Linked DNA regions of Tamandua tetradactyla. The protein of the gene in region 2 purifies or fractionates together with the protein of the main gene of each other region. This does not show direct contact. Links are inferred from orthologs where the notes say so. Each region holds a gene or a part of one and is shown on either strand. Other genes may lie near its edges.

Region 1 (3,749 bases), on a different chromosome or scaffold from region 2:
ATTTCTGGGCAGGAGATAAGAACTTCTTTCATATTAAGAGTGGGCAGGGACAGTTATTTCTGGTGATAAAAAGTAACCAGAGGTCTTATACTACCTTAGCTCCAGCAACTAATCCATCATTAATCCATGGAACAGGCACGCTGTCACATGGCCCCCACCCTCTGGCCCGCAGGATCTTATCTAGGGACCCCAATTAGATGCAATTGTCATGAATAGGGCGGGTTATTCCGTAACTTTAGAGGTGGTGGGCATTCTTATGCCCCAACGGTGGGATATTCCGGGCTCGCATAAATTAACATAAGCAAACCGAGAAGCCCATGCCAACGTTTCCCAACACCATTTCCTGATTAATAAGAAAATAGCAGGCTCAAAATCATTCCTCCTAAAACACTTCTCTTTGAAACTGCAAAGTGGGTAAGACACTCTTCGGAACCTCACCTACGTCGGGCACATGCCTCAAAGCCTGTGCATCACGCTGCTCCTGCGCAGGCTACAGGCTCCTCCCTTCACGAGGCTCACCCACTCCCTTCCCGGCTACTTCCGGCTCCACAGAACGCCCTCAACGCACTGGCGGCGTTTTAATAGGCTTCTCTGGCAGAAGTAATCCAAGCGCGCCTCTCTGAACCGCCCCCGCCTCCCCTTCGCCCCTCCCACACTGTACAGTTTCTCCACAACCCCTACCTCCTGAAATCTCGCGAGGGTTGGTGAGCGTCGGTATTTTGCGGGCAACTGCCTCTCCCAGCTTCTGTAATTGCTGCTGCGGGAGAAATTGGAGCTACTGTCCCTGGCCCGCCCTCCCTCCCCCACCGAGAAGAGCCACCGCCTCTTCTCTAGCTTTCCTTATACATCTATTGCCCGGAGCGGCCACAGCAATAGTGTCTGGGCCTGCCGCCGCCACCTCGGGCGGTCTCTGCCGGTCCTTCCCGGCAGCTGCAGGCGGCCCCCTGCCCCTAACCGACTCCTCACTCCAGATCGTCTGCTCGCTCCTCATCCTTGCCTGGGACTCACTTCCCCCACGGTCTCGCCGGGGTGAGGGACGACAAGGAGGAGACGAGAGTCACCCTCCCTCCAGGAGGCGCCGGCCCCCTCACCCGCGGGTGTGTCTTATAAATGGCGTCGGAAAGCGACACCGAGGAATTCTATGATGCCCCTGAAGATGTACACTTAGGGGGCGGCTACTCCGCAGGGTAAGTAACTGGAACGGCATTCCCGTTCCCCACTTCTCTTGTTCCTTAACTCTGGTCCGGCTCTGTCCGCCACCGCCGCTCCTCTCAATCTCACTCGGGCACTTCAGAACCCAGATCTGGGGCGCCTCGGCCAATTCCTCTCTTTCCCTGGCGCACGGCCTCCGGAGCCCTCTCGGAGCCCCTTTTTCGGCTTGTTCTGTTTTCTGCGAGGTGGACAGGTTACGTGCCCAAGAGCCAGCGATTTATGTTTGTGGGGTCCAGAGTTTACCTTTCAGATATCCAGTTTGGCCTCCAAACCATAGATTAAAAGGGCAGGAACAGAAGAAATTGCACGTCTCATTTTTTTTCTTTTTACCGCTAACTTACCTATTCATTTAAAGGTAGCTGTGACTCTCGTTTGCTGTCTTCTTTTCCTTGCACAGAAAGAAAAGAGAGGAAGAAAGGTTGGGTATTTTCTTAGTAAGGTCCTCTAGCTGATGTACCTTAGGTAAACAGTGTTTTATTAAAACAGCACCTTACCGTGAGGCAAAGGAAATCGAAGACAAGGTCCTTATGTTAAGAATGCGTTCTCAAAGGGTAGCCGGACGTAAATGTACACAACAGATTCCAGAGATACAAACAAGTGCTGAGTAATCTGGTGGTTGGAAGGAGACCCACAGCTTTGTGCTCTTTATCTAATTTCTGCAAGATGTTGAAGTGGTGATTAACATCGGAGATTGAGTAGAAAAAACAGGAGTTGGAATGCTTCGCTTAGGACTTCTACTTAACCAATCTTTCACTTTTCAAAATTGGAATATGTTTAAAGCGATTTTACTGAACTTGACGATTTTACTTTACTGATTTTACGGTCTCGTGTGTATGTATTTTCATGCTGTAAGAACTTGAGAATTGATAAAATTTGAATGTTAGTGTAAGGCCCTAATGTGGTTCCAGGAGTTCAGCTCCCTTCAATTCTCATGCTTACCCCGTCGAAGAAATACCCTGTTTGATGAAAATAAAGATATCTGTAGATTGTAGAAATGGATTGTAAAACCTAGTGTATGTTATACATAATGATATATACCCAAAAAGAGCAGCAAAATCAGTGAGAAATGTACCTTGTTAATTGTAAATGTATGTGTTTCCATCGACCTTCATATCAATATTGTGGGATTTGGGGGATGATAATGGTCCATGTTAAGAAGACACTGAACTCAGTGTCTCAGTGTCTGAGCCAAGTTCATAGCCAGAGAGTAGAGGACAGAAAATTTCTATTTCAGTGTTGCTCTCTTGAAATTAAATTCTGTTTTTGTGTGTTTTTTCCTTCAAGGAAATAAACTGTCAATTCAGGTTAAATGAGAAACCTCCTCCGTTAGTATTGTATATATATGTTTTGCATTAATTAATTGCGTTGGTTTTTTTTTTTTTTTTTTTACACTCTGTTCCCACCTTTTGGGTGTGTATGTGGGGTAGGGAAAGTGGGAAGGGGAAATAACAATTTGCACATGCTAATCAATTTAGAGCTATGTGGATATTGTTCTTTTTCATTGAATACAATAAGATTAATTTTGAAGGGAGTTACATCAGACCTGTGTAGTCTGCCTGGTCAAGTACCTAGTACAGAGAAATATCTTAAAAGTTCATTCCCTTCTTCCTTTCTTGGAATTACCAAATTCATTAACTTCATATAATGCTTGCTTTGAGAGGAAGTATCCAGAGCTTGGAGGAGCTATTTAACTTATCTAACCAGATGGGGCGGGCCACGATGGCTCAGCAGGCCGAGTTCTCGCCTGCCGGAGACCCAGGTTCAATTCCCGGTGCCTTCCCATGCAAAAGAAAAATTAATTAATTAATTAACCAGATGAGTCATTTTGATAGAATTGAAAGAGTCACTTCTTCCCTCATATGATAATAAAGCACTTTGATCCTTTCATACTAGGTGAAAAGTAAAACAAGTTTTTCTAATTTTAACTCTAACCTGCCCAAGAGCTGAGTAAGTTGAGCACTGTGGAGAAAACTACATTGTCAGTTTGTGGATTTCGTGATTTCATTCTGTAGTGAGGGAATTTGGAAGAGAATTAGACTCATCTGGAGAATTGCATGTGAAAAGAACTAGCAGTGCTTGGAGAAAAGTAAAAGGTGGGTATCATTAACATTTTCCTGTATCCTTTGTGGCAGGTTTTGTCATTTGGGTAAGGTGCTGAGAAGACACTTGGCTGGGCAACTAGTGACCTAGCAATACATTGTGGAAATCTTGATTTGTGAAAACAGATGTTGTCATTAGATATTTGATCTTCAGAAATAGTTTCTATCCCTTGAAATGAACTGGAGTGTCACACCATACAAACTCTTAAGATGGTTAATAAACTGAATTTGGGCATGTTAAGAAATATTCCTTGCTGTTGCATGTTCAGGAATTCAAATACCATTTTACCACATTATAGTAAACTGAGTAGGCCCTTGAGAGTTACCTCGTATGTTTTGTTAATCAGCATAATCCAAATATGTAATCCATTTCCTAAAATTCATTTATTCTTTCCCCAGTGGTGTCTTCATCTTTGTTATTTTGCTCTTTGAAAGCAA
Region 2 (3,749 bases):
CCTGCCCAAAAGTCTAGATTGAGGGTTTGCATATAGTCAGTAGGGGGTGACAATAAATGTGAAATGCTCTTTGGAATTAAAAAACTCCGGTCAATATATGGCCGCCCTGTGTGATCTTTGGTTAATTACTTGAGTCTTAGTATCCACATTTCCACTAAAATGGAAATTGCTGTGTTTGCTCTGCTTGTTAAATGAAATAATTATGTAAAAGGACCTAGTTTAGACTGACAAATAGTAAGGGCTCAGAAGTTCTTGATGAATCTTCATAAGGAGGGTGGGCGAAATTCTCTGAAAGACATCTGGAGACAGTTTGAGAGATTTCTGGAGAGCAGTGAGTGAGAAGCACCCACCCTTGAGGAGATCAAAAGGAATCAAGTTCCACGGAAGAAGCTCTTGAATTGTTTTGAGGCTGAGATGCCCAGATTAAAAAGGGCAAAGCTAAAATGTTCCTTAGAAGACACCCACATGCAAAGTGGTTGTTTAGTAGTACGAACTGAAGGGGGGATCTGTGGGGTCTTTGGAGGAAAAGATTACATTTTGTGAAATCCCATGCCACTTAGTTCAATGCCACGCATACCGTAGTTTGTACCATTACCAAGTGAATTAGATTTAAAAGGTAACTGGGGGGAAAAAAAAAAAGCAGACGCCACAGGTTCCACCGAGATTTGAACTCGGATCGCTGGATTCAGAGTCCAGAGTGCTAACCATTACACCATGGAACCGCCAGACGCCTTGTTGCGCTTTCAGATTTCTGAAGGTTAGTAAACCCCGCCCCACCACTACGTTGAAGCTTGTCTGATGCGTTCTCAGAGCTTGGAGTCCTGCTTGGCAGCGCGAGTTGGGGCAAGAATAAACGAGAAGTTACTAAGAGCATGGTCAGTTGGGAATCTAGGACTCATCTTCCCATATCAGCCTCCTTGAGGACGCTGTGACTTCAACGAACAACCCGATGCAAATGCTTGCAGCCCTGCGGGACTCGGAGGTGGGGCGCCAACTCCCCGGAAGTACTTCCCCTGAGGGGCTGGGGCTGCCGGAAGTGGCGCACGGCAGGGAGGGGCACTTCACCGGGTCCGGCGTCTGAAGCTCGGAGCTCGGGTTACCCCTGCAGCGACGCCCCCTGGTCCTACCGATACCGCTCCTGCTCCCGCCCCTTCAGACTCGGCCGCGCAATGGGCACCCGCGACGACGAGTACGACTACCTCTTCAAAGGTGAGCCTCTGGGCTTTGGCACCCTACAGTGTGTCCCCGTTTGGGGGCCCGGGACACTCCCCGGGGATCCGCGCGCGGGCCATCCCGGCACCGAAATGGGGCCTGCCTCAGCCCTTCCCTTCTGAGCAGTGCTTCCTGCCATCTTCCAGCTCAGTCTCTTCTCTCCTCAGACTGGGGGTCGCCACCACACCCCATTTCATAGCGACCTTCTCGTAGGCCCTCGCTAGCCTCAGAGCCCCTCATTGTGTGTCCTTCTCACGGCGGACTGCATTCTCCCAATTCGTCGTCTTCATTCCTTTTCCCGGGTTTATAGCTCCTTCCAAGGCCCCGCCGCCCCCCTCTCCATCTATCTTTTCTGACTTAGCGCCCCCCTCGCCCTCTTCACATCCTCTCTAATGAGTCCCTCTGACAGGCCCTCCCTCTTCCCTTTTCGCCTTTCCTTAGGCCCAGAGACTCCTACTACGGGTCGTTCTCTCATCTGGTACCCTTTTCTCCCGAGAGAGCCTCTCCTCTCTGTTTCCTCGCAGCCCCTCCTCTGGAACGGACTCCCCTCCTAGCCGACTGCTCCAGGCTCGGGGTCCAGGTCCTGATAACATCTGAGTGAGCCAGTGGCCCCCACCCCCACTTGTTCCGCTGTTCTCGCGGTCAGTAACCTTCCCCGATCGCCCCCGAGGGTTGGCAGCTCTTTTTCTACCTTCCCTCGCAAATGTTGATAGGTCCCGCGGCTCCAGTGCGACCCCGGGGTGGGGGTTGGGGAGACAAGAAAGAATGTCCATCACCCACGCGCGAACTTGTCGCAGTGACCCGGCAGGCTGATGTGACTTCCCACCTTGCCGGTTTTTTTTTTTTTTTTTCTTGCCGTCCCTTCCCAGCGGCATCTAGCCTGGGATAACTCTTAACTCTGCTAGTGAGAAGGGGTTGCGGATGGGTGGTGGCTGTTATCCTTGCCAGACCTGAAGGCCCAGTTCCTGAGCAGGAAAGGTTGTGCGCTGCACAAACACTGGCTTGCTTTATCGCAGTGGTCTGGTTGCTTCCTGCTGCAACACTGGGAGGATCCAGTCTTCTGGTGTTTTAGAACAGGAAGGGAAGAGTCGGAGTTGGCCCCATACCTTTCCCAAAAGGTGGTGGTGGGGGGGAATGGGTGTGTGCTCTTTTGCACATATTAACTATTATAAAACAGGGACATATGTCAGTGCCTTTGGACAAAATATATTGGAGAGTGGGGGTTCAATAGAATTGTTTATTGGTTAGTCCAGAAAGAATCCCAACAGTTTTTTTTTTTTCCTTAATCAACAGAGATAAAGGGTAGAGTTTGCAGTTAGAAGAGGGTATAGTAATTGCCTCCCCCTGTGTTTTTCTTTTGGTTGTTGTTCAATGAATCTCTCTCTGCTGCTGCTCTTTTTCTGCTCCTGAACTAGGAGGGCAGCCATCAGTAATGTGCTGAACAAAGATCATTACCAGGGAGGAAGAAGCCAGAGCTATTAAAGCTTTACAGTGGAGGGTGGAGTTAAAAAAGAGTGTTAGGCTTTATGACTGTTTGTGACTTTGCCATTGGGCGCTAAGAATGATTGACTAAACAAAGCAGGAAAGGTTTCTTTACCAGTACTTTGCAAATCTTACTATTACTAGCTGCTGATATACCCTTGTCATCACTTGCTCCTCTGAGCTGGTGTATTTATATAGGGCGCACACCTTCAAAATCTACCCCCATTCCCATACTGGCAAGGCATTTACAGAGAAGAGGATACTTAATGCCTTTTAGAAATATAAAAAGAAAACCTGTATTAGTTTATATACTGTTTGTTGAAGGCATCTGAGATTATGTGAAATTACTTAAGACAGTCCCTGGAAACTTTTAGGTTTCGTCACTAAAAGGAGGTTTGCTTTTCAAATAAAGTATAATGGCAGTGGGCAGCTTAATTAATTAAATTAATTAAATTTATAATTAATGAGAGAAACTGACCGGGTACTTCTCCTGTTTGGTTTGGAGTTTGAACATTTGTTATTAAAGTCTTTTTATATTTTCATTAAGAATATTATCCTGAATTGTCTTAAGGGCTTTAAACTTTTGATATAAATTTAAACATATATATATATAACTTTTGATATACCTTTGGAATTAGACCACCTATCTTGAGAGCATAGGGGTTTAGAATCAGGCAGACTTGGATTTAAATGCTGACTCAGGTCTTTTATTTGCTCTGTGACCTTGGGAAAGTTAACGTTTTTTTGAGCCTCAATTCCCTCATCTATAAAAAGGAAACAATACTTACGTCTTGGGTCTACTGTAAGGATTAAATGAGGCTCTTGTTAAAATTTTAGCTTCTATGAAGACTCAATAAGTGATAATCATGTGAAAGAAGTTACTGTAGTTCTTGTCAGTTTTTTAACGTTAAATTGTTATAGATACAAGAGCATTTAAATATTAATAAAGAAACTTAAAATTAGGAACTTCTTAAGTATTTTACTTTTCCACGGGTTCAGGTTTCATTTTGTTATATATTTTTAGGGAGTTAAAAAAATTCTACTGAGATGGATTT

Evidence for each region. Proteins that work in one complex are often made in the same cells at the same time.
Region 1: the proteins of RAB11A (region 2) and WDR44 purify together in Homo sapiens (affinity purification with mass spectrometry; 3 studies listed by BioGRID and IntAct, counting the BioPlex papers as one, with this or other methods). This does not show direct contact. The link is inferred for Tamandua tetradactyla from reciprocal best matches to the Homo sapiens genes RAB11A and WDR44.

Annotation. Positions count from the first base shown.
Region 1 is NC_135353.1:49,266,568-49,270,316, reverse strand, and holds the start of WDR44 (WD repeat-containing protein 44), read left to right. Parts: upstream 1-819; 5' UTR 820-1,110; coding exon 1,111-1,187; intron 1,188-3,749. UniProt on the Homo sapiens protein: Downstream effector for Rab11 which regulates Rab11 intracellular membrane trafficking functions such as endocytic recycling, intracellular ciliogenesis and protein export.
Region 2 is NC_135340.1:82,872,956-82,876,704, forward strand, and holds the start of RAB11A (ras-related protein Rab-11A), read left to right. Parts: upstream 1-1,026; 5' UTR 1,027-1,169; coding exon 1,170-1,209; intron 1,210-3,749. UniProt on the Homo sapiens protein: The small GTPases Rab are key regulators of intracellular membrane trafficking, from the formation of transport vesicles to their fusion with membranes.